4 linked regions of the Arabidopsis thaliana genome follow. The protein of the gene in region 1 interacts with the protein of each later gene in a pairwise test. Each region holds a gene or a part of one and is shown in the gene's direction. Other genes may lie near its edges.

The links.
Region 2: the proteins of PYL5 (region 1) and AT1G35560 interact in binary tests that used the Arabidopsis thaliana proteins (3 or more experiments, as listed by UniProt).
Region 3: the proteins of PYL5 (region 1) and PP2CA interact in binary tests that used the Arabidopsis thaliana proteins (3 or more experiments, as listed by UniProt).
Region 4: the proteins of PYL5 (region 1) and MYB77 interact in binary tests that used the Arabidopsis thaliana proteins (3 or more experiments, as listed by UniProt).

Annotation. Positions count from the first base shown.
Region 1 is NC_003076.8:1,604,413-1,612,703, forward strand, and holds PYL5 (Polyketide cyclase/dehydrase and lipid transport superfamily protein), read left to right. Parts: upstream 1-4,575; 5' UTR 4,576-4,961; coding exon 4,962-5,573; 3' UTR 5,574-6,115; downstream 6,116-8,291. Other genes in the region: AT5G05420 (FKBP-like peptidyl-prolyl cis-trans isomerase family protein), read right to left, coding at 71-158, 238-411; AT5G05430 (RNA-binding protein), read right to left, coding at 863-1,016, 1,118-1,240, 1,322-1,585, 1,662-1,693, 1,841-1,858; AT5G05450 (P-loop containing nucleoside triphosphate hydrolases superfamily protein), read left to right, coding at 7,665-7,934, 8,012-8,248. UniProt on the Arabidopsis thaliana protein: Receptor for abscisic acid (ABA) required for ABA-mediated responses such as stomatal closure and germination inhibition.
Region 2 is NC_003070.9:13,113,226-13,121,390, reverse strand, and holds AT1G35560 (TCP family transcription factor), read left to right. Parts: upstream 1-4,155; 5' UTR 4,156-4,266; coding exon 4,267-5,292; 3' UTR 5,293-5,565; downstream 5,566-8,165.
Region 3 is NC_003074.8:3,578,723-3,587,510, reverse strand, and holds PP2CA (protein phosphatase 2CA), read left to right. Parts: upstream 1-1,660; 5' UTR 1,661-1,861; coding exon 1,862-2,305; intron 2,306-2,390; coding exon 2,391-2,726; intron 2,727-2,818; coding exon 2,819-2,924; intron 2,925-3,016; coding exon 3,017-3,330; 3' UTR 3,331-3,729; downstream 3,730-8,788. Other genes in the region: AT3G11405 (uncharacterized protein), read right to left, coding at 6,152-6,616; EIF3G1 (eukaryotic translation initiation factor 3G1), read right to left, coding at 7,145-7,692, 8,209-8,260, 8,322-8,350, 8,639-8,788. UniProt on the Arabidopsis thaliana protein: Major negative regulator of abscisic acid (ABA) responses during seed germination and cold acclimation. Confers insensitivity to ABA.
Region 4 is NC_003074.8:18,555,041-18,563,664, reverse strand, and holds MYB77 (myb domain protein 77), read left to right. Parts: upstream 1-4,338; 5' UTR 4,339-4,613; coding exon 4,614-5,519; 3' UTR 5,520-6,058; downstream 6,059-8,624. Other genes in the region: AT3G50050 (Eukaryotic aspartyl protease family protein), read left to right, coding at 6,550-6,821, 6,900-7,020, 7,107-7,534, 7,647-7,803, 7,898-7,980, 8,069-8,168, 8,316-8,388, 8,516-8,624. UniProt on the Arabidopsis thaliana protein: Transcription factor involved in auxin response. Functions in auxin signal transduction and modulates lateral root growth. Interacts with ARF response factors to promote auxin-responsive gene expression.

The DNA of each region.
Region 1 (8,291 bases):
CACATAAGTATCCAAGTACCACTCACACATTAATAAAGCTCTTACTTTCGCATCAAGTTATAATACCAACCTAGACGAAACTTATAACGTGATTTTCCAACGGTGGAATCGAAAATCTTCCCATTCCCCTGAAGCTTTCCAGTATAATGGACACTTACCTGCACTCAGAGACAATAGACTGACCTCCAACAAATATTTGCACACAAACTACAACAGTTTAGGACTAAATGCTCATACCCTTTTGCCAGGCTCAGCTTTCTTGCCGTTGGGGTTTCCCATGCATAACTCTTCAACAATGAGGCCATCTAGGTCAGGCGTTTGCTTCTCAACACTAATAGAAAAGGCTTTACTCTCCACTGTAGCTTCCTCACTTATCTTCTCATTCTTCTTAGCAGATTCAGATGGGGACATGGAGCTTTCACTCCTGCAATAATATCAAAAGAAAAAAGCATAGAAATTTATAAGATGGGAAAGAATTTGAAAGAACCATTTACTTGTGAGCTAATAATATCGAATACCAATAACAAATGTACTAACTGATATATCCCAAATGACATGACTACTTTTGATTACCCCAAAAAGAACAAAGTACTTAAGGCAGAAGAATGGACTGAAGTCAAGTAGCCAAAGGAAACCTCAAGCTGACTTCTATTCATTGTTTTGAAAAGAGTATGCCGGAGGATCTTATATATGAAGGAATTTAGTTAAAACCATTTCAATAAGAAAAGCTAAATTTTACAGTAATATTTGAATTGTGGTTATAGGATACAAAAGTGACTGGAGAAGGATAGAAAAGTTAATTTACCTGCTTTTTGGAATGGCTGCATCCATGGCAGAAGGATCTTGGAGAGGAGGAATAGGTTTACTGAAATTGACGCGGCGGCGAATGAGGCGTATAGGTATTTCCGGTTTGGCAGTCACCCAATACAGCTAATTTGCGTCCTCGCATGTAGCTCCCATTAAGTTGAGTCACGGTATCAGCTACGTCTTTTCCGTGAACAACAGCTCTAACTGAGCTGAAAAATGATCAACAAAATACACAAGTCTCTAGTCGTTAAAGAGTAATAATTTTAAATAAATTGAAAGTTGGGTAACATGGGAGAAAGAAGCCTCAAACCTCTCTTTGACAAAATGGAGGCGTATGATATTTCCATATGGAGAGAAAAGTTTAACCAAAGCCCTCGAGATTTGACTCTTCCTAAGCGAAGTATCATATCCTTCAACTCTTACAATAACCTTACTGCAGTAATAGGATATTGCCGGAGATGATAAACATTATTATTATCAACAAATCTTATTTTTTTAAGAAATCAGTGTTTACTCGTTTGCGTGTGCCGGATACGGATAAGCCTCAACAGAGACATTCCATCCTCCCACGTTAACTTGAGCTGATGAGTTGGAAAGAAATGGAGGAGGAAGAAGCCACCAAAACCTGTTGAGAATCGTATTAGTCTCATCAAATTTTAAGGGAATATAAATCTCCCAGATCTCTCCACATGAAGAGAAATGTTCTGCCAACGCCGTGTAGAGATCATCAAGCGGAAGACCAGTGTCATATCCCGTAACCTTAATCCTCCCAACGTCACTGCAATAATAATAATACTATCAACGTGACATCTGAAAACATGCATCACCTTACACATACCAAATTCTCAATTTACCTCAGTTTTGGAATGTTATTCCGTTTCGCTCCCTAAAAAGTACAGGAGATCAAATCAGAAACACTTGCACTGCTAACTAACTTGCAAGTACTTTTCTTACAAACTTGTGAAGAAACCATCAATTGAGAAACAAAGATAAGAAACCAGAGTGAATCAGAAAAGCCATAAGAGTAGAGTACCATGGTGGATGAGAACATGGCTAAAATTTGTTCGACAAGAGCGAGACTCGATAACCCTTTTAACAGATTTAATTTAGGTCTGAAGAGGGCATTTATAGTTGTTTTTTTCTTTTTATTTTGGGCCTTGAATTAGTTAGCCCCATATGGTTCCTATTAAGTATCTTAGAGCATCTCCAACGGGAGAAAAATGGAGCTCTCATGACAGTCTCTCTAAATTATTGTGGAAAAAAATAAATCATAAAGGTTTAATACTGAGAGAATCGTTTCTCTTAAGAGAGATTTTGGAGCTGAAGAGAGACGCATACGTGTCGTTGTTTTTCAGTATTTCTTTTTTTTTTCCGTTTTTTTTCTCTACTATCATCTTTTCACTGGGACTTTGAGGATCATTGGACTTACCTGAAACGAGCTGGCCGACGTTGATTTCGGTAGGCTTATCGGCTCTGAGATTCATGGATTCCATACTTTGCAAGGTTTGTTCTTCTAATCTTATCGTTCGTCTTGATTCATAGAACTGTTTTTGTTTGTTCTTAAATTCGATTGTCTCTCGGTTTTCATTGTCCTATTGTTTTTCTTTTATTTTGTCTGTCTGGGTTTTGGACTTTTACTCTCGATTGCTCTTTGATTCTCGTAGCTATTGAACTAGAATTTGCAAAAGGTTGTGGAATTTGAGGTTCTAATTGTGATTTTAATGTGGTGATTTGGAAAAGAATTTAGGGACATTTTAGGTTGATTAAGGGATCTTGGCTTTGATTTGAGATACCCATCTAACGTGAAGAAGCTAGTGAAGTATATTTCAACCCCACCTGTGGTAAAGTCTAATCTTTGTGTTTCGATAGTTTCCTTTACGGTGTTTTGTATCTGACTAATATCACTTTTGATGGCTAATAGAGAGAGCTTCAGGGGATAATCCATTTGGGTGGGTATTTTTCTGGCTGTACCACTTGCAGTTTCTCAAAAGTGAGTGAAGGAACTCATTTTGGTTGATTATACTCTGAGTGAAGGAACTCATTTTCGTTGGTTCTGCTCTTCTAAGTGAAGAGGGCTTACAAGCTTGGAAAGGTGATGGCCATGTGTTTAGATTGTTGGTGCATCTATGTACTTTCCATAGATCTTCCTTTGCAATCATTTAGTGGTGAACCTGATATGTTGTTATTTCCTGCAGCAAGTTTCCAACAGAGTAATATCATGTCTGACCGGAACCATACAACGGAACATTCCACATATCGTTTTACATTTCTATTGACCTTGACCTTTATGTTTTAATTTGTCAAGAAGTCTACTGCATTTCTATTCTCTCCTATCTCATTCCTCTTTATTTACTTGCTTTCACATGGTAAGGAATTGTGAATATATGGTCTCAGCCTCTCATGTTAGACATTTCTTCTATGATTCTCATTTTTTCTATTGTGAATAATTTTTTTTCCAGACAACTCTTTTAAAAGAGACTTACCATTGGACTATGAAAAATCTTTCAAAAAAATCAGAAGCTCTCATCTTACAAATTCAAAAGATTTATACTTAAAAAATGGTGAGATCCCATTAGGAGGCTCTCACCATTGGAGATGGTCTTATGAGTTCCGTGAAGCTCTCTCGTTATTCTTACAGGGCATGATTTCGTATAATATTTTTAAAAAAACAAACGATTGGGCCTTGAATTTTTAATTAGAAAGTTAAACAAAATCTAAAAACCCACATGTGGTCTCTTGTTTTTTTTGGTGTGATGGTCGAATATTTCTAAAAACCCACAAGATTTATTAACTAGTCTTACAAATTACGATTACATTTTTTTTTTACGTTTTATCTCATTGACAGGGTATAATTTATACCGTATAAATATTATTTTCTTGTAGATCAGTCTTTTCAAAAAATGTAGTGGGATTACTGAATGCATTCCTCTATAATTAATTACGACAATTATCATAGTTGGTTTAGAAAAAAATAGTAAAATTGCACGTTTGCATGCCTATACAATTCGAGTGTACATGAAACTTGATGTAGAGTACCATACCCATGTCGCAAAATATTATTATTTATTGAAAAAATTACAAAGTCGCGATGCAACAACCTTTGTACTATATGATGAGAATATAATATAAAAATGGGCAACAAGAACAAAAGAAAATAGAGAAAAAAAGGAAAGGATAATCTTCCACCTAAACAAGTCCAAAGAAGATTGCAAGTTGCAACATCCACTTGCTTCGTCCGGCGTAAGCTCTTTGATAAGGTCTCTCACCGTCCTCCGACTTTCTCTCTCCATACATACACCACATTTACATACGCCATTTACACATATATGACAAACCCATCAACATCTGTGCATGCACGTGTGCTCATGCATGTATGTAGTTTTTACTTCGCCATGATGACCATGTCTATCTTAAAATTTACCACAATCAATCAATCATGCGCGTTACAGTCGTGTGATATTCAAAAATTGTACATGTTATTTCTCATAACTATCACTTTAGTAGATTAAGATCAGAATGTGCATATAATAAGTAAATTTTAACAATAACAGCAACATATTTTACTATAACTAATGATTTATTTAAAAAAAAAAGATAAAACTAATTCTGAAATTTCAGTTTTTTCTATGAACAATTTATTAACAGTATTCATATGTAGATAAACCTTGTAGATTCTATAATATAAAATTTATCAAGATGGAAATGAGGGATCTATAGAATACAATTAATTTTGGTGATATATATTCAAGATAATGAAGGAGGCGTCTGAGGAAAGAAATCATGGGGGCATAAGATGGTACAATGTATCATACATGGTCACACACATCTATATGATACAAATGCGTCTATATACACAACTGTTTCTATATACATACAAACACAAAGCCTTCACATCCCCAGCTATCTCTATCCATCTATCTTCAAATATATATTTTTAAAAACACACAATGTTCATATCTTATTGTTATTGTTATAAAATAAAAGATGATCATACTTTTTAAATTTCTCAAACAAAACCAACTTGACAACCGACAGCGAACAAGATCAAAAAGCTAGCTCTCTTCTTTTCTCATCAAACTTATTTCTCTCTCGATCGCAATATATACGATTCCATAAATTCTCCCAAAAACAAATTAAGAGATAGAGGAGAGATCATGAGGTCACCGGTGCAACTCCAACACGGCTCAGACGCCACTAACGGTTTCCACACGCTGCAGCCTCACGATCAGACCGATGGTCCGATCAAGAGAGTGTGTCTCACGCGCGGTATGCATGTCCCTGAACACGTTGCGATGCACCACACACACGACGTTGGTCCGGACCAGTGTTGCTCCTCGGTGGTGCAGATGATCCACGCGCCGCCTGAGTCCGTGTGGGCTCTTGTGCGGCGTTTCGATAATCCGAAGGTTTACAAGAACTTCATCAGACAGTGCCGTATCGTCCAAGGCGATGGACTACACGTCGGCGATCTCCGGGAGGTCATGGTGGTCTCTGGACTCCCGGCGGTCTCGAGCACCGAGAGGCTCGAGATCTTGGACGAGGAGCGTCACGTGATAAGCTTTAGTGTCGTTGGTGGGGACCACAGGCTCAAGAACTACCGATCGGTGACGACACTACACGCGTCGGACGACGAAGGTACCGTGGTGGTGGAGTCTTACATCGTTGATGTGCCGCCGGGAAACACGGAGGAGGAAACTCTAAGCTTCGTTGATACTATCGTCCGGTGCAACCTTCAGTCTCTGGCTCGAAGTACCAACCGGCAATAATCTCATCTTTCTTATATAAATTGCAATTATGTATCTAATTTTTTTTGTTGTTCTATTTCTTTTAGATGTTCGATCTTCTTTACAAGGAAGAAAATTTCGAGTACCTTTTCTTTCTTTTTAAATAGATATATCGGCTTAGAAAGAATTGTAATTTAATGGGGATTTCTTTGGGAGATTTATGTTGGAAATTTCGAAGTACTGTTGGGGGATTCACAAAACTTTGGATTTGGAGGGTGTTAGTACTGGTACATAAAACATTTTAAGGTGAATCTGTTAAATGAATTAATCCATTTGTTGTTTTGTACATGGTATCATTCTTTGTGACATTGTTTAATTTCTTGTACTCTTTTAAATGTTACTCTTAACCGTTTTTTTCTTTTGTGGTTTGTAAATGAATATTTGATGCATCGGTATTGTTAATGATAGACTTATTAATTTATTTCTTCATAGTATGTAACATTACTATAAGTTTGTTTTTTGTTGGTTGATCCTTGTGTCCAAATGTTCTAAATAGAAAATATAATACAAAGCCGATATTCTGATCTAAGAATCAATTAGAATGAAGCCAATAACTGTTCCACTGTCTATAATATTACCAGAGAGATAAAAGTTCAGAAATAAAAAAACTCCAATTCGTTTAACTTTAAGATTTATCGTCATCATGGATCATATTAAGGGAACATCAAATTACCTTTAAGTATTGAGTATATATATTCGAATTATCTGTCTATTACACATAATATTCTCGGGACGTAACAATTTATTAGAAGGTACTATATGTAGATGGAACTGCGTGTTAACTAAGAGGGAAATTATAAACCAGGTTATGGAATTTAAACCTGATTAGCATGTGCATTTACATAAAACATATATATTAGACCTAAAGCAAAAGTAGACGTGCTTAAACTATTACCAACTAGTCTTTCATTGGCTACTAGTCTGGTCAAGTGGAGATTATCATTTTTTATTCCCGTTTGTTTTGTTAATAAATTATAACCAACCAACCTAGTGGGTTATATTTAATTCAAATATAAGTTTTTGGTCTACTGTTTTTTTTTTTTTTTTTTTTGTTCTGGTGGGTTTATTATAATTCGTTCGATTCAAAATTTGTATTTAAGAAAGTCTAAAAGGACATGCAATTAAAATTTAGCTGGAAACGCGTTGCAACTTGCTAGTTTTTTCTGCCCCTAGTGGGATATGATACAACGAACCCTTATGCCGGTCTTAAAGAGTTAATATTTCTTTTTATCCAATTTCCTTTTAATAATAATACAAACAAGGACAATAACAAATTATCAAAATCTTGTCAAAAGAGTATTATATATCATCAAGCACACTACTATATTATTGATTAAATGTTGATTAGTGTTATTAAAATTATCTTACTATATAATATTGGATGTAAAGAAAAACAAATGTATAACCAATATCAAAACTCAAAAGATAACAATTTTTATTTTTTTTTGGTACGAATCAAAAGATAAGTATTAAATATCATAGTATTTATTGCTACAAAATTCTTTATATTTATAATCTATTGTATCACTTTATTTTGTGTTTGGTAAAACATCCTCTTTTTCTTTCTTTTCGAACAAATAAATTGAGATAAACATATTTGTACTATTCTATCACTATCATCGTGTCACCACCATATTCAAATCCATATATACACAAATGATTAAAATTTTAAAAGTAATTTTTGTTTATAATACACAAAAATGAAGATACGTAAACTATCGTACCACATCTTACAAAATTATTCGTGACATTTTATCCTTTGTTGTCCCAAATTAGTGCTGAGATACTTCAAATGTCTGATTAAGAACGGTAATAATATTTATAAGTGGCGAGGCCCAAGAATTAGCTCAAAACAAATGGGCCGAAATTATACATTTCTTTCATATTAGTAAAGCTTTTCTGGGAGAAATCCGGGCATCAATTGGTTACCGGTTCAGTATTTAAGCCTGGGTTGTGAATTCCAACATAATACCGAACCGAATTGATCAAAACGCTGCGTTTTGTTTTCAGTCATTGCAAGGTTACTGCAAGGTTAAAGCGGGAAGTGAGCAACGAGAGGCAGCGGCGGCCGTCATGGATTCATCGGCGAACATAAACAAAGCTCTAACGGAGACGCGTTTCTCCGACCTCGAACCTCCACTCTCCGGAGATATCATTGAGGCTCTTAATCAGTCTGATTTCGAGTTCTGCACTCCGGTTCAAGCCGCGACGATCCCTTTACTCTGTAGTTACAAGGATGTTGCCGTCGACGCTGCCACTGGTTCTGGAAAAACCCTAGCTTTCGTCGTTCCCCTCGTAGAAATCCTCCGTCGATCCACCTCATTCCCTCCGAAGCCTCACCAGGTAAGATAATTGCCAACTAATCTGGAAATTAGGATTTTTGTTTCGATTGTGAGCTTATCTTTGAAATTAAATTACAGGTCATGGGGGTGATTATATCGCCAACGAGAGAGCTATCAACGCAGATATATAATGTCGCACAACCATTTGTTTCGACTTTGGCAAATGTGAACTCTGTGTTGCTTGTTGGAGGCCGAGAGGTGAAAGCTGACATGAAGATTATTGAAGAAGAAGGATGCAATGTCTTGATTGGTACACCTGGAAGACTTTCTGATATTATGGAACGAATGGAGATTCTGGATTTTCGAAATCTTGAGGTACTTTTCTTCAATCAAGGATTTGTTTTAAGATAGATGTTGT
Region 2 (8,165 bases), on another chromosome or scaffold:
TAATGAGGAATATTACGATTCTGTTATTTTTACTTTCTTTTTTCTCTCTGGACTCTTGTTTCTTCGGCTTGAATTTCTTACAAAGGAAAAGGAATCCTGATAATCCATTTGACTAAATATCGACTATAGTCTTGTATTTAGTATAGTAAAACAAGATGATGTTTATTTAAATGATGTAAATAATTTTCTTGTCTCATTTATGTCAAAAATGTATATATTTCTATTTATTTAAATAAACTGCACAATAATCCTGGTTTTGTATTCTGATGGGCATCACTCGACGTTCATGTAGACAAAAGAAGAATGAGACTTTATTGTGAATTGATGTACATTGATTTTGTGTCAAACAATTAAACAAAAATATTTGTCGGCTAATACAATTCTTTGGAAAAAGAATCATTGGGTCATTGACTCATTGGCCCATTTCCCAAATCACATATCCAGCCCGAGTCGGCACGATACAGCATCGCCGGCCTTTTGGTATGGCACAACAAACTGATTTTCACGTGGTTTAAGTTTCTCCTTTTGGTAATATTAATACACGTGGTTTAAGTTTCTCCTTTTTTCTTCAAAATGTACACCATTTGACCGTTAAGTCAACATTTCAAGTTTTCTAAGCTAGCTATTTTACACCTCCATTTCTCACCGAAGCAAACTCTATTTATGACATTCCAATACACCAGCATATAATGTTCTCGACGAGGATTCCATCATGTCCAAAAACTGGTTTTCTAATTAGTGCTTTCACCGGAAAATCTACCAGAAAAAGTGGCTGTTAACACATTTGAAAACGGAGTAAGATCGTCAACATTTTTTTTTTTTCTTTATAACTTGTGAATATATATTACCTCGAAACGAAAAAGTTATTTACAAAGTCAGAAGACAGACATGCCCAAACAAAATTTAAAAGCTAAATTTGAAATACATTTAACTGAAACAGAAAAATTAACTATGGAAGAACCATTGAGACAAGAGTCTCCCACAACATTTCATGCAAAGACGAGTTAGAAGATTGTCAATATTAGTCACATGCTATGAGAGAAGGAAAAACAAAGCATTGAAAAAGTATTCTAAAATTATCGGAGGAAGAAATATTGAAGTACGATGTTGTAGGTGATCGGGGGCAAATTGATCTTGGAATAAGTAAGCATAAAACAGTAGCAGAGGCTTGGGAAGGCTATAGACAAAGACGACACAGATCTACTCACCTTCAGGCCATAGAAACAGCTCTCTTACAACAAAGAAACGATAGAACAGAGGATGAGGACATTGTTCTTTGGAAAGGTAAAAATGACGTATATAAGCCACAGTTCTTGACTAAAGAGACCTTGAATCATATGCGGACCATATCCATGGACGTTGATTGGTATAAGGGTGTTTGGTTTGGTCATTCCACGCCAAAGTACTCTTTTTGTGTTTGGTTAGCAGTTCTTAACCGACTCTCAACAGGAGACAGAATGACTCATTGGAATGGAGGTCAGTCAGCCGCTTGTGTGCTATGTCACAACGCTCCCGAAACCCGGGATCATCTCTTCTTCTCCTGTGACTTTGCTTCGATAGTTTGGAGTAACTTAGCAAGAGGAATCTATGGAGACAGATTTTCTACACATTGGCAAGACCTGATACAAGCCATCTCCGGCTCTTGGATGACACCGCTTGACAGTTTCTTTGCGCGATATCTCTTTCAAGCCACGGTACACACCATTTGGCGCGAAAGGAACGGAAGGAATCATGGAGAGAAACCAAACTCAGCAGCTCTTTTAATCAAATGAATAGACAAACAAACTCGGAACCAGCTTTGTTCGATCAAAGCAAGTGGAGATAAGAGATATGACAAGGGCTTACAAGCTTGGTTTGCGATGAGAGAATGAGAAACAATTTTTAGATTGTATTCTAGTTTTTGCTCCAGTTTTTTCAACAAAATGTTGCACATAGATGTAAAAACGCTATTTTTTTTTTGGATTTAATTTAACATTACATTAAAAAAAAAAAAAAAAAAAGTACGATGTATATCACAAGATTATAGAAATACGAGATTCTATGTATCTAGGTGGTATCAAAGAGAAGTGAAAGGTTGAGGAAACTTTTTACAAGAAATGTAAAATGGGATGAGTGAAATTAAAGGGAATGAAAGAGAGTAGAATTGTTTTTTGGATGAGAACTCATGAGATCATACCTACACACAAGACCAACCCAAAGCTAAAACCTGTAAAGCATGGGCTTTTTAGGCAGTAGATGATTCTAAAACAATTTAAAAGCACCATTTTAGAGATATATATGGTCGAAGAGTGATTAACACTTTCACTCTCTCACCATTTTATTTTATTTTTAACGTCTTGCCTACACATTTAAAACATTAATTGGTTGATACTTTTATACTTTTTTAAGCAATTAAAATAATTTATTTAAAAATAAATGTATATAAAAAAATATTAATAGTTTATTTCTTAGATACTCAATGAGTCTCCATCCAATGAAGGTGCTCTAACAGAATCTTGAACAAGGCTACATACTATATGGTCTTGTAAATGAACATTTTCACTTTTTGGAGAGAACAGAGACAAGACAATGGACCGTGGGAGGATCCAGAGTTTCAGACCAAACATCACGTTTTTTTATCACTCGCTTCTTGTACTTCTTCAACTATCTCTGACTGTTTTACTGTTTTCTTTCACTGCTAATGCTTACACGTGCATCTGTCTCAACAATTATTTTTCAGGAAAATAAAAAATAAGAGAGATTATATATACAGTTCAAAATATAATTGCATATATATATATATATATATATATAAATTATATAAAATATACTGTTCAAATATAAAGTTTTTTTTATAGTGGTTTGGTTTCACTTTCATTGTTATCTATAATTTAGCTCACGGTGCGTACATGTAACTTACATTAAGAACAGCCAAAAAGCTCAAGCTCGTGTCCAAATTAAGATTCCGAATGGTATAGCTAGCAATATAATATATTATATGGTTTTGGATTGATAAAAACATAAAACCTAATAAAGGAATTTAATTGATATAAAAAATGAAACAATAATACAGTCTAAATATTCAATTATGAATTAAAATATTGCAATAAATCAGTTAATAGGCATTAATACTAATATGATTATACATACATGGTTAATCACTAAGAGCAACGTGAATATCAATAAACTAATTGATTTACTACGCTTGCATAATTATTTTCCTTAAAACTTTTTGATTTCGAATACTTTGTTAACACCCTGATACATGTGCATATAACATAGTAGGCTGAAATTGGACTATTCTTAGACAGTTTTCACATCTAGAATGAGATGTATAGGTTTCGTTGAGAAAAATTGTAGTTGAGATGATTAGTTATATATAACCTATGTCTGTGGGTGCTAATTTGGCAGATGGGAAAAGAATTGAAGCCTTTATATATAGTCTTCAATTATTAGTATCATCGTTAATAAAAACAGTGGTCCTTATCTCTCAACAAGTCTTTCATCAAATTCGGATAACAAAGACAAAATAGAGAATCAAAGAAAGAGACATTTGTGTTATTATCAGTAAATTATTAAAAAAATAAATAATATTAAAACACTATTATATTGGGTGTAAATTGGCTCTATGATTAGTGATTAGTTTTTTTCTTTTCCCCCATAGAACATTCAACGTTTCCCACCCATGCAAAATCCAACCTAAAAGCCAAACTTTATAAGGAAACCAACAAATAGATCCCTACAATCTAAAGATTGCAACAAAAATGCCCCAAAATTATAATCTTAGACAATCCACACCTTTTTCAATCATGTAAAACACTTCCAAACTTTTCATAGTCCATTGCTAAAAATAGTTTTAGTCTCACAAAGTTAGACCAAAATTCAATACATTCGGCGCATAATTATTTTTATACTACAATATAGTAAGTGTGATAATAACCAAACAAAAAAAGGTTAAGTGATCATTTGGTGTGGAAACAGCAAATATTGGTCTCTACTCTCTACTACAAAAACCTAGTGGGACTACAAATGAAAATAAAACACAAAAGAAAAAGAAAGTGAAAGTCTCTCTCTCTTTTCTACAAGCTGCTTCATCTTCTTCCTCTCACTCTCTCTTTCTCCAAACAAGTAAACAACAGTCAACACAAACTCATAGCCCCACCAGAAAAAAAAAATACTCCAAGAATTTATAGGTTATAAGTAAAAATTCAGTACAAGTTTGTTTGTTTGTTTATTCCATTTTCTTGTGTGTTTTTTTCCCCATAATTTATAAATTTTATAAGCAATATGGAGTCCCACAACAACAACCAGAGCAACAACAACACCACTGGTTCGGCCCATCTGGTCCCATCCATGGGACCAATCTCCGGTTCAGTCTCATTAACCACCACTGCTCCAAACTCCACTACCACCACCGTCACCGCCGCTAAAACACCCGCAAAACGACCGTCCAAGGACCGTCACATCAAAGTAGACGGACGTGGCCGGAGGATACGTATGCCGGCTATCTGCGCAGCACGTGTCTTCCAACTAACACGTGAGTTACAACACAAATCGGACGGCGAGACTATAGAGTGGCTGCTCCAACAAGCGGAGCCAGCTATCATCGCAGCCACCGGAACTGGAACCATACCGGCGAATATCTCTACTTTGAACATCTCTCTTCGAAGCAGTGGCTCTACTCTTTCAGCTCCACTGTCTAAATCTTTCCACATGGGAAGAGCGGCTCAAAACGCTGCCGTTTTTGGGTTCCAGCAACAGCTTTATCATCCTCATCATATCACGACAGATTCTTCTTCTTCTTCTCTTCCCAAAACATTCCGTGAAGAAGATCTTTTTAAAGATCCTAATTTTCTAGATCAAGAACCCGGTTCAAGATCACCTAAACCGGGATCCGAAGCTCCTGATCAAGATCCGGGTTCGACCCGGTCAAGAACACAAAATATGATACCGCCGATGTGGGCACTAGCGCCAACGCCAGCCTCCACAAACGGAGGTAGTGCTTTTTGGATGTTACCAGTCGGAGGAGGAGGAGGTCCGGCTAACGTTCAGGATCCATCACAGCACATGTGGGCGTTTAATCCGGGTCATTACCCGGGTCGAATCGGGTCGGTTCAGCTAGGGTCTATGTTAGTGGGAGGTCAACAGTTAGGGTTAGGTGTTGCAGAAAATAACAATTTGGGGCTATTTTCCGGCGGAGGAGGAGACGGTGGTCGGGTTGGTCTCGGAATGAGTCTTGAGCAAAAGCCTCAACATCAAGTGAGTGATCATGCTACTAGAGACCAAAATCCTACTATAGATGGTTCTCCTTGAAAGACTTCATGATTTCTTTGGTTTTTAAAAAGTGTGAATGTGTGATTTATTGCAACTTTTGTTGAGGACTCCAATGTTAATATGGGTTTTAGGGTTGGCTTTTCGGGATTGCCAAATTGTTATTTAAGAAAATGGATTTATTGTTTTGGTTGCATAATAATTAACGAGTTTTGCAACTCTTTTTATTCGATGCAAAAGCATGTCACTTAAAGGAAATATAGTTGAATCTCTATGTGTAACATAATGGACAAAAGAATAAATTAAATATTTATCAGAATGCCTTTTCTCTTTTGTTGAAGGGTATAATTGAATACACCTTCTTTGACCGCTCATATATTTCAAATATTTCGAATTGATTGCAGTTCGTAAAAAGCTAACGAATATAAATAAAAAATTATATGGTGTAGACTGTAGTGATAAACTTTATTGGGTGCATGAGCACCACATGTTTGGATACAAATGGGTTTTTAGATTTATATATTAATTCTCTTTTAAAATTCGTATTTTGTCTATCATACTTTTGTAGTATCTACCAAAAAATTGTCCACTTGTGGAGCAACATGGACACGTCAGAGAGAACTCCTATGCCACAGTAAATTCCAATGTGTTTGAAAAATAGGCTGGACGGGTAATCAGGCGAAATGCCGTTTTTAATGTGACTAGGGGTTAGCCCGGATATATATTTTGATAATTGATATTTTCAAGTTAGTTGATATAGTTTAAAAAAAATATTGGATTTGATTTCGGAAGTGTATATAATAGATGGTTTATTGGGATTTTTATATATTTACTATTTTTAATATATTTAAAATATATTAGAAATAATATGTTATCATGTCAAGAAGAAAGAATATGATTTATTTTACTTGTGATTTATATATCTATCATATATGGGATGTAGAAGCATGCTCCTAACTTAAGCTTTAGCAAGTTACATATTAACATAAGACTTGTTACATAATTCTGACCAATTACAATTGCTAGAATACGTGTATCAGTAATATTTTAGAAAACGTTAACATGCAAATATAAAAATATTACTTATCCTAACTTCTGTCTTTTATTAATTCGTGTATTGACTATTTCATATTTTTTATTTATCTTTCTCTCGTATTACCAATGTCAAAGCGGAGTATTTGGCAAGAAAAATTCGTGTCAAACCGCTACATATTACCTATATAAACAATTTTCCGCAATCTTGGTTCATCTGAACTCTAAATAATATCTGATGACAAAAAATAAAATCACTCTCAACATTCTCTTCGGGAAAAATGTCATGTAATCATTCAACTTTAAAAAAATGGCCATTTTATATAGGAATTTCATAGTAAGCTATTTTAAATATCAACTAAATGTTGACTGCCATATTAAACATGAAATTGCGTTGATCAGACCAATTTTGACATGACGTTAAAATGTGATTACGGAACCACTAAAAGCCGATATCAGTCGTTAACTATTCTGTAGTCATGTGTTTTGGTTATTTGTATTCTTTTTATTTTTTTTTGTCTTAGTTTTGTTGTGCGTTAACGATTGATAACAGTTGTTAGTGGTTATGTTAGTAGATTTTAAAATCATGTTTTTTTTGGCCGGGTCAACATTTAGTTGATGATTAAAATAGCCTTATACGAAATTCATGTTCAAAATAGCCTAAATTTGAAAGTTGGTAATTTGACTAACAGAATTGTTAACGACTGTTAGTGGTTCCGTTATCGGATTTTAATGTCATGTCTATATATATTGGTTAGGTCAATACAATCTCATGTTTAATACAGCAGTCAATGTTTAGTTGATGTTTAAAATAATATACTATAAAAATTCAATATAAAATGACCATTTTTTAAAGTTGGACGATTAAATGATATTTTTTCCATTTCTCTTCTCCTCTATTCTCACAGCGCAGTTCTCAAAGGTGATTTTTTTAATCATCCTTCCGTTGACCTTATACACCATCTCCGACCCTCCTCCTTCGTAGATATGCTCTGCTTCCATGCACATTTTGATGAGGGAGAAGACCCATCTATTAATAATTTCTTATGCATTGTAAACATCGATCTCAAGAAAACATTTTCTCTACGTGGTATCTATGGAACATGCAGCTGATATTAATTATTGGCTGTGATTAAACTCAAAGCTTTTATAAACTCGATGAGAGAGTAGTGATGAAACTCAAACATATTTTATCATGATGCAAGTGGCAAAGAAAGTTGACCTCACGAAGAGATCTCTTTGCATTGATCTGGACATCTGGTGACAAAAATGCATCACCAATGTTCTTTGACACTACCTTTTTACTGCTCTTCAAGTTCATAGCCGGATTTAAAACAACAAACGACCAGTTAGTATAGGCATCTTGCTTAAAGATTGTCCAGTTCTTCATCAACATAATCCATCTTTACACATCAGTTTTCAACATGAAACCTAGCTCTGATAATGGTTCCTCCCTCTTAACACTCAGGAAAGGGAAACACAAAATGAATAAGAGAAAGCAAATTTAATTACTTTAGCTTGAGTTTATAGGTTTTAACCTTCATGACCTGAGTTGAATAAACCACGGTTTCTTGACCTATTTGCTTCCATAATTTCTTCTCCAACACTTCTTTCTTCTCCGGCCGCAACCATGGTTTTTTTTAACATTTTTTACACTTTCGAGATCGGGAACAACGTTTAGGTTTCTTGCACCTTTTTCTAACTGAAATTTATTTAAAACTTTTGGCTTTCTCTATGGTCAGACTAAAAATTCATGTCTCTATATATAACAAGTTTTTTATCACCACAAAAAATGATTAAAAGTTATATATAGTAACACCATAGGCTAAACAAAGTTCATATTCGATGACTCCGTTGTGTGTGTTCTATTTCAGTTTTCTTGT
Region 3 (8,788 bases), on another chromosome or scaffold:
CCAAGTTATGAAATTCTAACATCAAAACTAGGACTAGAAAAAAAACCAAAGCCGAAGATTTATTATATTGGGTTCGAAATTAAACTTGAACCCGAAGATTTACTATATTGGATCCTAAATTTTTTAATCCAAAAAATCTAAGTCGAATCCGAAAATACCGGTATTTTATTCGAAAATCTAAATTTATTCGAAATCTAAAATTTTATCCAAAAATTCAGGTATTTACTCAAAAATTCGGATATCGGTTCTAAAAGGACCCTGAAAATTTATATCCAAACCGATTAAAAACCGATTGGATACAAACTTAAACCAAACCGATATTTTGGATTTATCCCATTGAATCTTAAACTTTTATATCCAAAAAAATCATATCTAATCGGGTTTTACCCGAACTTAACCCAAATGCCCACCTTTAATTATTCAAAACCAAAAAAGAAGTGTTTGATGCTGAGGTTTGAACTCATCAGATACACGTAACTATTTTCCAATTTATTTTCGTTTATGTGCATTTCAGAATTTCAAGCATAAATATACTCTTATTGTTTAAACATTTCAAATTGCATGTGTGAAATAATATCAGAGTTAGAATATATGTTAATCTTCTCTTCTCCTAGATTCAGTTAGATACGTTTCTATCTTCTTTTAGGCAACATCTCTTGTACAAATAGTCTCTTTGGCAATTCAATACAATCAACCTTTTACGATATATATATTTGTTATTTCTTGTACAAATAGGATCAAAATTGTTATTTCTGAAGCAAATTTTCTTTAGTTTGGATGTCAATTATATCCTCGATTAATATGTAATCACGGAACGGATTCACGATGCGTTATTTTAGAAGCAAATTTATACTTGATAGTACGTTCAGAGGCATCGCTTTTGTACAAATTGAAGCGGGTTTGTTCAATATTTAAAATAACACAGGAAACATTCAAATGTATTATTGATGTTGCTTAGGTTTGTGAAATGATATGAACCATATCGTATATATTACTAGATTTTTCTTATATGTTTTAAGGGTAGTGGGGCTGACCTATCATTCTGTTTGGCATTACCAATCAGACTATCAGAGTATTCACCATTCAGGATTCCATAACTAGAAAAAGAAGGGGTTTACATTTTCTCATACTGTATAATTTTCTACTATCAGAGATTTTATCGATTACATTAATCTCATAGTGATTATTCTGATTTATAAAAAAGTTGACAAAATAATTAAAACCAGTATTTTATAACAAGATTGTCTCTCTCCCATGGCCATTATTTTGACCTCTGACTTATTTAAATCTTAATTAACAGCATAATACTGTATTAAGCGTATTTAAATGAAACAAAATAAAAGAAAAAAAGAACAAAACGAAAGAGTGGACCACATGCGTGTCAAGAAAGGCCGGTCGTTACCGTTAAGGTGTGTCGAACTGTGATTGGGCCACGTTAACGGCGTATCCAAAAGAAAGAAAGGGCACGTGTATAGATCTAGGAAAAAAGAAAGAATGGACGGTTTAGATTGTATCTAGGTACCAGGAAATGGAACGTCACACCAAACGGTACGTGTCGGATCCTGCCCGTTGATGCTGACGGTCAGCAACTTCCCCTTATTCATGCCCCCCTGCCCGTTAATTACGTGTAACCCTTCCATGCGAAAATCAAACCCTTTTTTTTTTTTGCGTTCTTCTTCAACTTTTCTTTTTAAATCAAACCTTTTCTTTTTAAAATCACATTGCATTTCCTAACGCTCAACAAAATCTCTCTCTACTAATATCTCTCTCTCTCTCTCTCTATTGTTGAAGAAGACTCATAATCGGAGATTGTTTGTTTTTGGTTTGCTCTGTAAATTGGAGAAGTTTTGTTAGAGATCAAATGGCTGGGATTTGTTGCGGTGTTGTTGGAGAGACTGAACCGGCGGCACCGGTTGATTCAACTTCTCGAGCTTCTCTTAGACGGAGGTTAGATCTACTTCCGTCGATCAAAATTGTTGCTGACTCCGCCGTTGCTCCTCCGCTTGAAAACTGCCGTAAACGGCAGAAGCGTGAGACAGTAGTGCTCTCGACGTTACCGGGAAATCTAGATCTGGATTCGAATGTGAGGAGTGAGAATAAGAAGGCTAGATCAGCGGTTACGAATTCAAATTCTGTTACGGAAGCAGAGAGTTTCTTTTCCGATGTACCTAAGATCGGTACGACGTCGGTTTGTGGTAGAAGACGAGACATGGAAGACGCTGTCTCGATTCATCCTTCGTTTCTTCAACGGAACTCTGAGAATCATCATTTCTACGGTGTCTTTGACGGCCATGGCTGCTCTCATGTACGTTAATTTCCTCTGTTTAGTAATATTTTTTTCTTTTGTTTGTGATTAGTTACTAATTAGGGTTTTGTTTGGTTGATTTTAGGTTGCGGAGAAGTGCAGAGAACGGTTGCATGATATAGTGAAGAAGGAAGTTGAAGTTATGGCTTCCGACGAGTGGACAGAGACGATGGTTAAGAGTTTTCAAAAAATGGATAAAGAAGTTAGCCAACGAGAGTGTAACTTAGTTGTTAATGGTGCTACTCGGAGTATGAAAAATTCTTGTAGATGTGAATTGCAGTCTCCTCAGTGTGACGCCGTCGGATCCACCGCTGTTGTATCGGTTGTCACGCCGGAGAAGATCATTGTTTCTAATTGCGGTGATTCACGGGCTGTGCTTTGTCGTAACGGTGTAGCCATTCCTCTCTCCGTAGATCACAAGGTAGTTAAAATTATGTCTTATATAGAATTACGAATTGGTTAGTATGAATCAAGATGGCATGGTTCTAAGAGTTTTTGTTTTGTGATGAACAGCCGGATCGACCCGATGAATTGATTCGGATCCAACAAGCTGGTGGGCGAGTTATATATTGGGATGGAGCTAGGGTTCTTGGAGTTCTTGCCATGTCTAGAGCAATTGGTGAGTGAATCTCTCTTGTGATTTGACTTTTTAGGCTATTTTGAATTACACGTTTGAATTTAATCTGATGATTATTGTTTTTGTTTGTATAGGTGATAATTACTTGAAACCGTATGTGATTCCGGATCCGGAGGTAACAGTGACGGATCGAACTGATGAGGATGAGTGTTTGATCTTGGCGAGTGATGGACTATGGGATGTTGTACCAAACGAGACGGCGTGTGGCGTGGCTCGCATGTGCCTTCGAGGTGCTGGTGCGGGTGACGACTCAGATGCGGCGCACAATGCGTGCTCCGATGCGGCGTTGCTCTTAACAAAGTTGGCTCTAGCAAGACAGAGCTCCGATAACGTGAGCGTCGTTGTGGTTGACTTGAGGAAGAGGAGGAATAATCAAGCGTCGTCTTAATAATTAGTGTTATAATTAGTAGTAGTATTAGAATAATTGTTACATAGCCTAATTGTAATTGTATTCTTTTTATTTTTCTATTTTAGTTTTTCTCATTTTAAGGTGTTTTTTCTTTTCTATTTTAGTTAGCTCTTAATTCAGGCTGGGGAAGAAAAAGAGCTGATTAAATAGTTTGAGTATTTTTCTTATTTTTCTATTCAGGTAATATTATACATGTATTCTTTTAGTATGGTCGTTGGAAATGTAATAATCTAATTCAGAGGGGAAAAATGTTAAAATGAAAGAACAGATTATGCGTATTTACCATTTTAAAACTTCGGTTAATGTTATTCGATCCGAACTGGTTTAGTATGAGTCTCGACGATGATTTGAATCCAAACCGGTTACTTACTAATCTTCCCCTATCTTAAGAAGATTTTATTTATTTTATTGGTATGGGGTCGTATGGGAGACTCGCGTGTCGTAGACCGCGGCATTTTAGCACATAATTGTAATTAAAAGATTCAAGGATAATATTAGAAACATAAATCAACAAAAATATATATATATCTTGGTGGAAGAGACTAATCTGGACAATCAATATAAGAACTAGAAAGTACAATGATTTATTAATTCTTTTAATACTAATGAAGATAGTTAAGTTAAGAGACTTGTCTGGCAACATTGTCGAATGCTTAATGTCAGTTAAGGTCGGAATCAATAATCAATTAAACAGATTTTGATTAAATTGACTAGAAAATATCAACTAGGAGGGTAAGAAAAAGGAATATGATCTTCACATTCTTTTATAAATAAATTAATATCAACTTGAACAAAAAATAATACATACTTTTAACCGTCCATTACTAGCCACTTGCCAGTTGCCACAATGACCAGATAATAAAATCTTATTCTATTCAATCATGTTTTTATAAACCCTTCACATTAATGTTTGTTAGGTATTAATCATACGTTAGGTTATGTTTTGTTTTCTAAACCAACAATTATTATGGGGTTTTGTTGAAGACATTTTTCGTAAACCTAGCATCTTTTGGATATGAAAATACCACATTTGAACCAAAACTACGGTAAATTTATATCCCCACGCGTGAAAAGTTCGATTGGATAATCCAATACATCACAATTGGTCGAAGTTTGGAGATTTCACCATCAAAAGATAAGGCACTGCCATAAAATTATTAGATCGGAATTCGCATAATGTTATAATGATGGATTGATTTTTTTAGCTGTTGCCTGTTGGGTTTGTGGAAAGAGTGAGAGGGCAACACAATAAAAGTTGGGGATTGAGAGGGACACAACACAAGTGGGAGCTTAGATAAGATTATGCCTACTTGTGACAATCAAATAGCAACACGTGTCTATTTGGTCTATGTGAGATTTGGTTTCCAAGATTTGATGTTGACCTCTCTTTCTCAATTATTCTTTCCCTTTTTTCGCTATACATCATAATGTTGTCTCAATTTGTCTTATTAAATATCTATTCATGTCCCTAATGGTTCTTACTTTATAGTATTGAGGAAGGCTTACATGACATCGTGAGTTCCTTGTGCTACATTAAAAATGTTAACAATAAGTTTGGTTTTATATCATAAGTCTAGTTTTAGCAAAACAACTAACTTTATACTTTTTCCTACATAAAATCCATTGCTAGTATAGATTTAAGTTAACTTAAAATGTCGTTAATTACATGTGTTTGGGACATAATAGAGAAACTTGGTCAGCCTTTTGACGATGTTGCCTGAAAGATATAGCTATATTCACTACAAAATACACAATTGAAATGCTCTAAAATTGTTAAAAATAACATTTTAAACCAAATATAGTTGGTAGACGATTTTAGCTCAACGGTGCAAACATACAAGTGAATTGTTCGACTAAATTTGTTAAATAAGACTTTTCACCAACTGTAGTAGTCCATCAATGATAAAAGGTAAAGAAAAGATGCATAGGCCGTAAAACCTATAATCATTGTTTTCATTTTTAAATTTGTATATTATGCAAAGGTTTAATAAAACGGAGAAGGATTTGTTTACTGACGATATTTGATTCCAAACGTAGAACACATTCTAAAAAAAAATATTTTCTTTTATGAATTTATGAATTTATGAATTAAAGAGCATAAAAAATTAAAATGACTTTAAATTTAAATAACTGAAGTAAAGAAATACTAATCAAATACAAACCATATAAGAACACCATAAGCAGAACGTAACATCATCATCTTAATGATTTGAAAGGGTCTCAGTCTCTCAGATTATGAATTTATGATGCAGTTTCATAGTGAAGAATGGTCCCAACAAGAAACTTTAAACTGTTTTTGTGTTTTAGAATTTCTCTATTTATATTTTTAGATAATGCTTCTATATCTAATTAGATAGATTTTACTTTGTTTTCAAAGTCTATCTCTTGCTCTTATTATCCTTCTTGGTCGATTTTGGTCCTAGCTAAGTTTTATTTGAAGCTTTTGTTTCTCTCATTGGTATACAGTTTTTAAAACATATAAAACAAGATTATTCTCTCAGCTAGAGTCGCTGGTCCTTTTTATATATTGTTTAAGAAGAAACTTGTCCCGACTAGTTTCTCCAAACCGCAATATATAAACCATATTTTTCTTTCCCTATTCAATTTGGTTTTAACTTTTGTTCGGTTGTAAGAAAACAGACGATAAAAAAGAAAAGAAAAGGAAACAGACGATAGCTTACGGCGAAGCAAATTAAATAATATGATATAGTAAATCATAATAATTGAAATCCATCCATATAAACAACAAGAAACGAAACTTTAGGGTCAAGCAAAATTAGGCTTTCACTTCCTTAACTTGCTACCCACGGAATATAAATTGAACCATATCCTTTACTAGAACTGTCACTAACCCTATCAAAGATCTCTCTTCCAAATCATCAATGGACGAATTAGGGTTTACTGAATCATGCTCATCCAGAGAAGAATTTAACCCCGTCTCCCACAAGAATGCACCCACTGCAAATTCTTTTTTGCAGGACAAGTTACCGATATCTGTAGGCAGACCATAGAGTTTGAGAAGTCGATCGAGTTCTTCCTCCGACATAATGTCGTACTGTTCCTTTGCGTAATTCGGGTACTGAAGAGGCATTTGAAACGAAGACGGTGACGAAGAACCAAACAAGCTGGCGAATTGGTCGCTTTCATTGTCCGATGATGAATTAGATGTTTTTTTGCCGACGACATCTATATTTTCGACATAGTCATTGTTGAAGTTTTGTAGTTCGTCACGGAAGATAATACTGAGTTTTGAAACCTTTTCCATTGTTTCAATGAAATTCTAAAATTTGACCTTCTACTAAGAAGAAATTACTTAAGCTGATATATATGCAGTTAAAAATAAATGGAAATTTTACTTTTTCGACTAAATTTAACAAAGGAAATTTTCTTATTTTTACATAATGATACGAAAATGTTATAATTACAATTAAAAGAATATACGTACTAACATTTGTTAATTAGTTATATTCTTCATTAATAAAGATTATTATTTTGATTGATATCTTAGAACGAAAAAGTAAAAGTCAAACAATATTTTTGTGAAACGGGGAATGTTAAACAAACATCACAAATAATTTTAGACATCAATGAAAAAAGTGTTGGAAAACTCTTACGTATCACACAAATCCATTTTTTAAAAAGCATGCCTTATGTATTAAAGAGAAATTGAACAAATTCTCATCTATTCATACAGAAACCAAACCAACAAACAAACTGGTCGATAAACAAAAATCCATAACAAGAAAGACGAGAATGAGAAGAGTTTTAAGGTCTCAACATCAGACATTTCTTTCTAGGTTGGTCTTGGAGTTGCCCATTCAACCCTGAGGATGAGGTTATCATAACCATAACCATTCAATTTGTTGATTGCTCTTTGAGCGTCTTCTCTGCTCACGAAATTGACGAAACCAAATCCTCTGCTCACTCCAGTTTTCTGATCAATGGCCACATAGACACGTGTGACAGCTCCAAACGGGTGGAACAGCTCCATCAAGTCAGGTTCACGGGTATCCTCGGACAGATTGGTTACACGCACAGAGTTCTCATCGTTCCTCCTCCTCATGTCTGAACCCACAGCGCTTCTGTCTGCACCTGCTCTCATGCTAGGCGGGACATACGCGGCCTTGCCAGTTCCAGGTGCAGCAGACATGGTAGATGATTCCCCTGTGGGTGGCTTGTCAATGAAGACATCGGTTGGTGCAGCTAGATCCTTGTATGGACATTTTGATGTCCAGTGATCTCCTTTCTTGTGGCATATCCTGCACACCATGAGAACTGCACCACCTTTACCCAGCTGAGACAAGCCATCTCCTGTTGCCTTTGATTCATCCGCTTTGGTACCTGAAGTATCACACACCGTTAAGATACACACAATTACACAAAGAATGAAAGATAGTTGTGAACCAATGGCCAACTCATAGTCAACTTTAAAATGATACAGTAATGCATAGCCACAGAATCAAACATAGCAACCTATGTCTGCACTATAAGCCACTGATTAACATCATCTTTGATGGCTATCTATACAACTAGTCATTCACCTATCAATAGATTGATCACGAAAGCCCTAGTAACATTATCAAGGAACTTAAACTTTGCCCGTTTACAAACCATTTGACATTGGTTCATTGAAACACAAGATCATGGTGACTCCTACATCAATCTAATTTTTTCATCAAGGTAATAACACAAAAGGAGACAACATGTCACAGGACAAAATTTTTAACAATCGAAACTAAAGCTTCCAAACATCAAATGGGAGACAACATGTCACAGGAGAAAAGCTTTAACAATCGAAACTAAAGCTTCCTAACATCAAGTAGGAGACCAATGAAAAGCTGCAACATCTATGTGTACAGTTAGCAGCCACAAAAGTGAGAGCACATTTCAGCTCGTACTCAGGAATGGACTACAAACAATAAACTGCTATCGGTGACATACTGACCAATCACACAAACAAGTAGCCTCACGGCTAACATGTGATTCGCTAATTGGTCACCTTAACCCAATAGTATTAGACTAAACAATAAAACTAATGAATCAAACAATGAATTGGACAGCAATCCCAAGTTAGAACATATCACAAACAACATCTTTCTAGGTGAGTCTAGAAACTTATTCACACAATTAGCACAGCCATAAGACTGAACATTTTACCAACTCAATTAGATCAAAGTGCACAAATTTATAATTTTAACTCCAAATTCAATACGAACCAATAACCCCACGAATCTCAACAAACAAAAATCACCAGAATCATCATCATCATCAGAGGGAGAGAATTTACCAGGAGCTCGGGGTCGTTCGAGAAGGATCTCTTCGGTAGAAACCATAGTGAGATGGCTACCAGCTTCCTCATTGGCTGCGTCTCCGAACTTAGGCCAGTTCCTCCTCTCCATGGCTCGTTTGTTGAGTCGAGCAGAAGCTAGCTTGCGGA
Region 4 (8,624 bases), on another chromosome or scaffold:
GTTGGATCAACTTAAACTGACCCCAAAAAAACAACAATTCGCTATTCGCAGTTTTGTAGCTAGAATTTCTGAAAACATACATCACCATAATGCATAAGAAACAACAATGAAAATAAGTAACTATAAGCGTTGGTTTCTTGAGAATTGAAGATGGCATCACTAGATGATGACGTATTTACTATTTGTTGAGCCGTTTTGGGCCAAAGTTAACAAATGAAGATTGATACGGCCCATTTAGTATAAATTTTTACTGATGTCTGACGGGTTTAGAAGCACACGTGCATGCAAGTAGTATACACGTGGGTGTTTCACATGAAAGATCCTACTTCCTACATGTGTTGTTGACAGTACGGACAAGTCTTTTAGTTGGCGAATAAGCGGCTAAAAATTTTCAAAGTGAAGCCGTTTAATGCAGGTCGTCGGTCAAAAGTGAAAGGATGATGGATACTTTTGTCATTTCATGTATCTTCTATGTATTTGCCTTTCAATCTACTGAACTTTGTCAAAAGAATTTTGTGGTTTTTTATTTGCTACGTAAAGTTTAGATATTAACAAAAGAATCAACAAACTATGAAAAATAACAAAAAGATGAGACATTTAGTCATGTATAACTCTTTTTTTTTTTTCATATTTAACTTGCACATTATTATGATGTATGATGTCATAACAAAACAAAATTTGTACTTTAGTAACCACAAATAAATATATGTATTATGTTAAAAATCATTGTAAAATAAGAAATACATTCATACAACCATAAGTTTTTTTTTTAAGATCATAGTTCTTTAAGAGATTTTAAAAAGAAGAAATCACATTTTTAACCTTCAAAGTGTCATTGGTACACCTCGAATTTCTTTTACTAACATTTATAAACCATCAAAGTAATTTTACTAATTCTTTAAACCTCCAAACTAGTTTTTTTGTTTGCACCACTATAAAAAATGACGAAGTAATTAATTTTGTTGAATATAAATTCATATGATATAATTTATTTATATATATTTTTGTTGATTTTTGTTTTTTCAATCAATCTCGCAATTGATTTTTTGGATATGTTTTGTTTTCATAGTCGAACGATGAATAAACGAAGAAGACAAAGTTTTTTTGTTTCTTAGATTTTCATTAATTATAATAAACAATAATATTAATTTAAATGAAATTAAAAAGATCATATTAAACAAACATAAATTACAATAATATCAAGATGATCAGACTCAATGGTTTGGTTGGTGGCTCTTCCTCCTCAACCAAATGAATATTAAAATGCTAAAATTTGAATATTCCAATTTGGCTTTCTAAATTTTTAGTTTGTCTACGGTGAGTTATGAATAACAATTCTATATCTATTTTCTAAATAGAAGTAACAAAAATGAATTAACTTTATACAATTACACATTTAACCACATTGGAAGAGAATGGTATCGAACCCTTGCTACCAAGAGAGCTCGGCTAAATGGAACAACTAACACTCAATATGACTAACGGCAACAACATGAATATCTTAATAAATACGAATACAGTTTATCCTAAATGTTACTTATTATTTGTATATGTGTAGAGAACATATTCATACGAATATTTTTGGGACAAGATAACAATTTTCATTCCTGTAAATAAAATTCCACTAAATGGTAAATAACTCGAAAGTCTCGAATGATACAATGAACTCAGTCAACATATATTTGTTTTTCCGCCTCTTACACCGACTAATCTACCACCGTGTGTTAGTATTATGATCTTTATGTTATTTAAAGCTTATCGTTGTTTAGATATATCGAACGAGTTTTTCTGTTAGGCAAACCTTACAAAAATGAATTTAAAAATTAGGAGAACAAACCCGACAATCGAAGCATGGACCCTAATTAACAACAAACAGCAAATGATATACTTTGATTTATATATTCACACATCGTGCACCGTCTTGTTCCTTTTGACAACAACCTATTACCAATATTTTAATTACAATGTTTCTAAGACACACATTGTTGGAATTATATTCTACATCGTGCACCGTCTCTCAGGTATATGTGTTCACCAAATGTTCACGTGCATCTTTCAAAATCTAGCTAAGTGTACAGCAAAAGTACGTGTCAATTATACATTGACCCAAAATAAAATGTTGGATCCGAAATGAAATAGATCTAAACAATGTTTAAGTAACACGAAACAATTTACGACAAAAAAAAAAAGTAACACGAAACAATTTACAAATCCTCAATTTAGTTTACAAACCAATAAAACTTAACATGGTATATATTATAGTCTAATTCAACCCATATAATATAACCTAAATAGGATAAGTTTTCGATTAGAAATACACCAAGAAAACCATCATTTAAATATGACATGTTAGAATGTGGAACACATAATAAAAGTAAACATATTGTTAACTTTTATAACCAAGACTAAGTGTATTATTATTATTATTTTTTTTTATTTTTTTAAAATATTAGGAGGTTTTGGGCCGAAACCCGTAATCTCTACAGACCCAAAATTACAGCATATAATATTAGTTTCGTCACTAGAATGTATTATTAGTATGAAAGAAATAACAATTAAGGGAAAGTTTGGTCAGTAAACTGAAAACCAACAACATCAAAACTGAAATAGTTTCGGTAATCCGTTTATAATTTGACTAATTAGTATGTAACTAATTCGACATAAAATACGGAAAAAGATAAATTAAAAAATAAGTTGTGAAACCGTTCGATGAAGGTTGGGAAGAAGGTGCAAATGACGTTTAGTGCGTTACTAACGTAAGAGACAGTTACACACAATTTCAAAAACAGTTCCAAAAATTTGACACGTGGCAGTTTGCTTAATGGACGACAGTTAGTTGTTTGTTGAGGATTACAGCCTGGATTTTCGTCAATCAAAAACTATATATTATAAATAAATATGATTTCATTCACATTCCAATTGGCCTAACACTCTTTTGTCGTGTTGTCCATGTCAGCAAATTTTATTTTTATTTTTCCGACCACTTACTTTTATCTTGTGTGGCCGTTTCTTTGTAACAAGTTTATGAAACAGAATATTAATCGTATCTAATCATATAAATGTAGTTTCCCGTATTGTGTAAATACTATATGACTTTGATTTGGGGCATTCAAAAACGTACCATTAACAAATAGTCACAGACAAAAAAACCATACAAAACTGAACCACATTTCTATAAACGATACAAATATTTTTATCCCAAATTTGTAGCACTAGGCAGTTTGAACCTTTTTCAGTTAGAAAGATAAACCAAAAGGAAGTAAAAAATATTAATTTCATCGCTCAAAACTGTTACAATTACTGTTTAACCAGTCATAAATTAGTTAATGTTTTTTTTTAAAAATGTGTAATCAAAATTTTACTTTCAAGAGTGCCAGCTCTATACTTGCAATTACTTTAAAATTTAAAAATATACAAATTTTAAATTATGTGTATTGTATTCTCGAGAAAAAAAAAAAAAGAAATCTATGAATAATTAAAACGTAGCATAACCGTTACAAGTATAGTTTCAAATTCAACGAATCAAAATACTTTTTTAAAAGTAGCTAATACTTTTCTCGTTTCAAATTAAATGTCGTTTTGCATATTAATTTTTGTGTCATATTAAACGTCGTTTTATATTCTATGCAGATTTTATGTATAAACTTTATTGGTCAAAAGCGTTACGAATATCGTTTCAAGTTCAACGAATCAAAACATATTTTATAAAAACATCTAATACGTTTTCCGTTTCAAATTAGATGTCGTTTTGCATTTTAATTTTTGTGTCAGTCTAATGTCGTTTTATATTTTCTACACATTTATATTTTCAAAAATTTCAGTTTTATTTTTATTGTTTAAATATATCATCCAATTTGAAAATAATACAATACAATAACAAAAATAACATTTAAATTAAACAAAAATATTTTTAGAACACTGTGATCAAATTTTATCCTCCAATATTTCCCGACCCATAAACTTTAAACCTTATGTAACTTCAAAAAAAAATTCAAATTAGTCGTTTTGTATTCTACAAAATAAAATAAAAGGAAAAAAGTTTCAGAGAAAAGGGTAAATTTGCATAACAAGGAATACAGGCTGGCGTGTCCAGTCAAAAAAGTCAGAAATCTGCATAAAAAACTGTCTTTACCCAAACTGCCAAACCTAACCGTTATCGTCTCAGATATTATTATTATTTTTCAAATAAACATTCAAAACAGCTTTCTAATTTTTCACCTCAGATTGTGCGAATAATATCAGAGCTCTTTCCTTGTAGGTTTCCGTGATTTTGTCGCTTTAACTTCCCTTCTTTTCCCACTCTCTTCTCACGCGCGCGTGCTTCCCCTTTCTCTCTTTCGACTGTATCACACGCTCCATAAACTAATAAACAGACGCACCGAGATCACGACACGTGTACACCTACAGCTGTATCCCAAAACTTTCAAAACCGCTTGCGTGGAAGAAGCGGTGCATGACTTTCTCCACCGTCTCTACCGGTTACCGGTTATTATCCATCCTCCTCTCTATCTCTCTCTCTGTTATAAATACCTTTTTTCTCCTCTCTTCAGTTTCCTCCACCTTCTTCTTCTTCTTCTTCTTCTCTACAACAAACAAACAAAAGATCTGTTTCAATGGCGGATCGTGTTAAAGGTCCATGGAGTCAAGAAGAAGATGAGCAGCTACGAAGGATGGTTGAGAAATACGGACCGAGGAATTGGTCTGCGATTAGCAAATCGATTCCAGGTCGATCTGGTAAATCGTGTAGATTACGTTGGTGTAATCAGTTATCTCCGGAGGTTGAGCATCGTCCTTTCTCGCCGGAGGAAGATGAGACTATTGTAACCGCCCGTGCTCAGTTTGGTAACAAGTGGGCGACGATTGCTCGTCTTCTTAACGGTCGTACGGATAACGCCGTTAAAAATCACTGGAACTCTACGCTTAAGAGGAAATGCAGCGGAGGTGTGGCGGTTACGACGGTGACGGAGACGGAGGAAGATCAGGATCGGCCGAAGAAGAGGAGATCTGTTAGCTTTGATTCTGCTTTTGCTCCGGTGGATACTGGATTGTACATGAGTCCTGAGAGTCCTAACGGAATCGATGTTAGTGATTCTAGCACGATTCCGTCACCGTCGTCTCCTGTTGCTCAGCTGTTTAAACCAATGCCGATTTCCGGCGGTTTTACGGTGGTTCCGCAGCCGTTACCGGTTGAAATGTCTTCGTCTTCGGAGGATCCACCTACTTCGTTGAGTTTGTCACTACCTGGAGCTGAGAACACGAGTTCGAGCCATAACAATAACAACAACGCGTTGATGTTTCCGAGATTTGAGAGTCAGATGAAGATTAATGTAGAGGAGAGAGGAGAAGGACGTAGAGGTGAGTTTATGACGGTGGTGCAGGAGATGATAAAAGCTGAAGTGAGGAGTTACATGGCGGAAATGCAGAAAACAAGTGGTGGATTCGTCGTCGGAGGTTTATACGAATCCGGCGGCAATGGTGGTTTTAGGGATTGTGGAGTAATAACACCTAAGGTTGAGTAGTTTTGGTTTAGGGTTAAAACTTGAATCGATTGGGGATTTTCAAGAGCATTCATTTTTGGGGTTTATGGTAAAATTAAAAACAAAAACAAAATGTACAGAGGAATTAAAATTTCTATGGAATAATCTTAAATCTCAAATATTTGTTACTTGTTTTGGTGATTCATAACCAAAATCTATAACAAGTCTAAATCTAAAAATTGAACCTTGATTAGTGAGACATTATCATACAAAGAGACATACTGAGTTAGTCAACAAAATGTAGGATAACTACATTCTTACATATTGTATAGATGAATTTCATGTTAATCCTTTCATAGAGCTATACAGTAACCATGATTAGTGAGACCTTGTAACATGTAGTATCAAAATCAACAAAGGTATAGATTTAACATCTATTTGAAAACATTCGAACCTTTTATTTGAAAATCTTTTGCTTGTTGTAAGAGATTTACTCTATAGTCTATAGATAGTAATTAAACCTTTTCTATAGGTTTGGTAGATTACTTCACTTTTATATAAAATTAATTACTGTCAAATCGGATTTTTGTTAACATAATTATTTTTCGACAATTTAGAAATTATCGTAAAAATTAGATCAATCTTTCTACATTCTTACAAAAAATAAATACATTGTCTAGAAAATCAGTTTTTTTTTTTCGTTTTAAATCTATAAAAAAACTGACAACAACAAAACAATACATACTTTTTAATTACTATAGAGTAAAATCTCTTACAACATGCCAAAGATTTCAAATAAATTGTAGGAAGATTTTTATGTTATTTAACCATTCTACAGTATAAATAAACACTGGTACAGCGATGTTAAAAAGTAGAGGTTAAAAAAATGCGTTAAAAACACAAAAGCTACGTCGTTTCAATAACTGGGTTTTGTCTCAAAGAAAGCTGCTTTTGGTTCCCGTAGATCTAAAGTTACGTTCGAGTCTCCCCTCTTCTCTCCACTCACTCAGCTCTTTTGATTCCCCTCCAATTTTCTCCGACGGTACGGTCGAAAAATCCAACCGGAGATCAAATGGCACTGCCGTCGATCTCATCAATCGGCGCGACGTTCTCACTCCTAATCTATTTATCTCTTCCTTATTCAATCACAGCTGGTGAAAACAACCTCCTCCACCAATCTCCAACCGCTAGATCACGACGTCCCATGGTGTTCCCATTGTTCCTCTCTCAACCAAATTCTTCTTCGAGATCCATATCAATCCCACATCGAAAACTCCACAAATCCGACTCAAAATCACTTCCTCACTCTCGCATGAGACTCTACGACGATCTTCTTATTAATGGGTAATCTCCTTTTCCATATTTCCCGATCTGGGTCATGTAAAGATGTCTCTTTTATATACTATTATATCGTATTTGTAGGTATTACACTACGAGGCTTTGGATTGGTACACCACCACAAATGTTTGCTCTTATAGTTGATTCTGGTAGTACTGTTACTTATGTTCCTTGTTCTGATTGTGAACAATGTGGCAAACACCAGGTAATGATGGCTCTAGATATCCAAATCTTGTGTCTTGTCTCGTGTAAAGTTGCAAATTTTGAAACTTTCTTATGGTTATTGATCAGGACCCAAAATTTCAGCCAGAAATGTCTAGCACTTATCAACCTGTTAAGTGTAACATGGATTGTAATTGTGATGATGATAGAGAACAATGTGTTTACGAGAGAGAGTATGCTGAACATAGTAGTAGTAAAGGTGTTCTTGGAGAAGATCTTATTTCATTTGGCAATGAAAGCCAGCTAACACCTCAACGAGCTGTTTTCGGTTGTGAAACTGTTGAAACCGGTGATCTTTATAGTCAACGTGCTGATGGGATTATTGGATTAGGTCAAGGAGATCTTAGTCTTGTTGATCAATTGGTGGATAAAGGTTTGATAAGCAACTCTTTTGGTTTGTGTTATGGAGGGATGGATGTTGGTGGTGGTTCGATGATTCTTGGCGGTTTTGATTATCCATCTGATATGGTGTTTACGGACTCGGACCCTGATCGTAGGTATGTTTCCAAGGGAATGGCTTTTTCTGATTGGTGAATGGGATCTTGTATAATCCTAACAAATACGTTTAATACCTTTCACACATTTACTCTAGTTTCGGGATGGCGACAGTCCATATTACAATATAGATTTGACGGGGATACGTGTTGCTGGGAAGCAGTTGTCTCTTCATTCGAGAGTCTTTGACGGGGAACATGGCGCCGTACTAGACAGTGGTACAACATATGCTTATCTTCCAGACGCAGCATTTGCGGCATTTGAGGAAGCTGTAAGAACTGTTCTGAGAATTGTTAATGTTTAGTTAAGTTCCCTGTTTCTCTGTTGCTTATCTTACATGAGGCTCTTATCTTGTTGTATTGAAGGTAATGAGAGAAGTTTCCACATTGAAGCAGATTGATGGTCCTGATCCAAATTTTAAAGATACTTGCTTCCAAGTCGCTGCAAGGTATTTATTATCTCTTGCAAACTTGTGGTGTATATCATAACTTATAATCAAGGCAAGTAACTGACTCTTATAATTGTTTATGCTGAAGTAATTATGTCTCGGAACTTTCAAAGATATTCCCATCGGTCGAGATGGTATTTAAGAGTGGACAGTCATGGCTGTTGTCCCCTGAAAATTACATGTTTCGAGTAAGTAATGTAGCCCTTAACCTATTATGAAGTTCCATGTTCTCTCTATAGCTAGCACTCTATGCAGTATTTATAAGTCTCTCTGTGTCTGGTGTTGGTTTAGCCACAAATCAGTAGCTGATGTGATTACTTTTTGATCAATAAAAGCATTCCAAGGTGCATGGTGCTTACTGTCTCGGTGTCTTCCCAAACGGAAAAGATCACACAACTCTTTTAGGAGGTAAATAGATATCATTACTTTGTTTGATTTTTCTCTTTTTATGGCTACCTTCATTTGTTATTATACTGCATATCATTTTACTTGCCAACAGATTCATTTGTAACAAATGATCTTATACTATTATCAGGAATTGTGGTTCGTAATACACTTGTTGTGTATGATCGTGAGAATTCGAAGGTTGGATTCTGGAGAACCAATTGTTCGGAGTTATCGGATAGGCTTCATATTGATGGTGC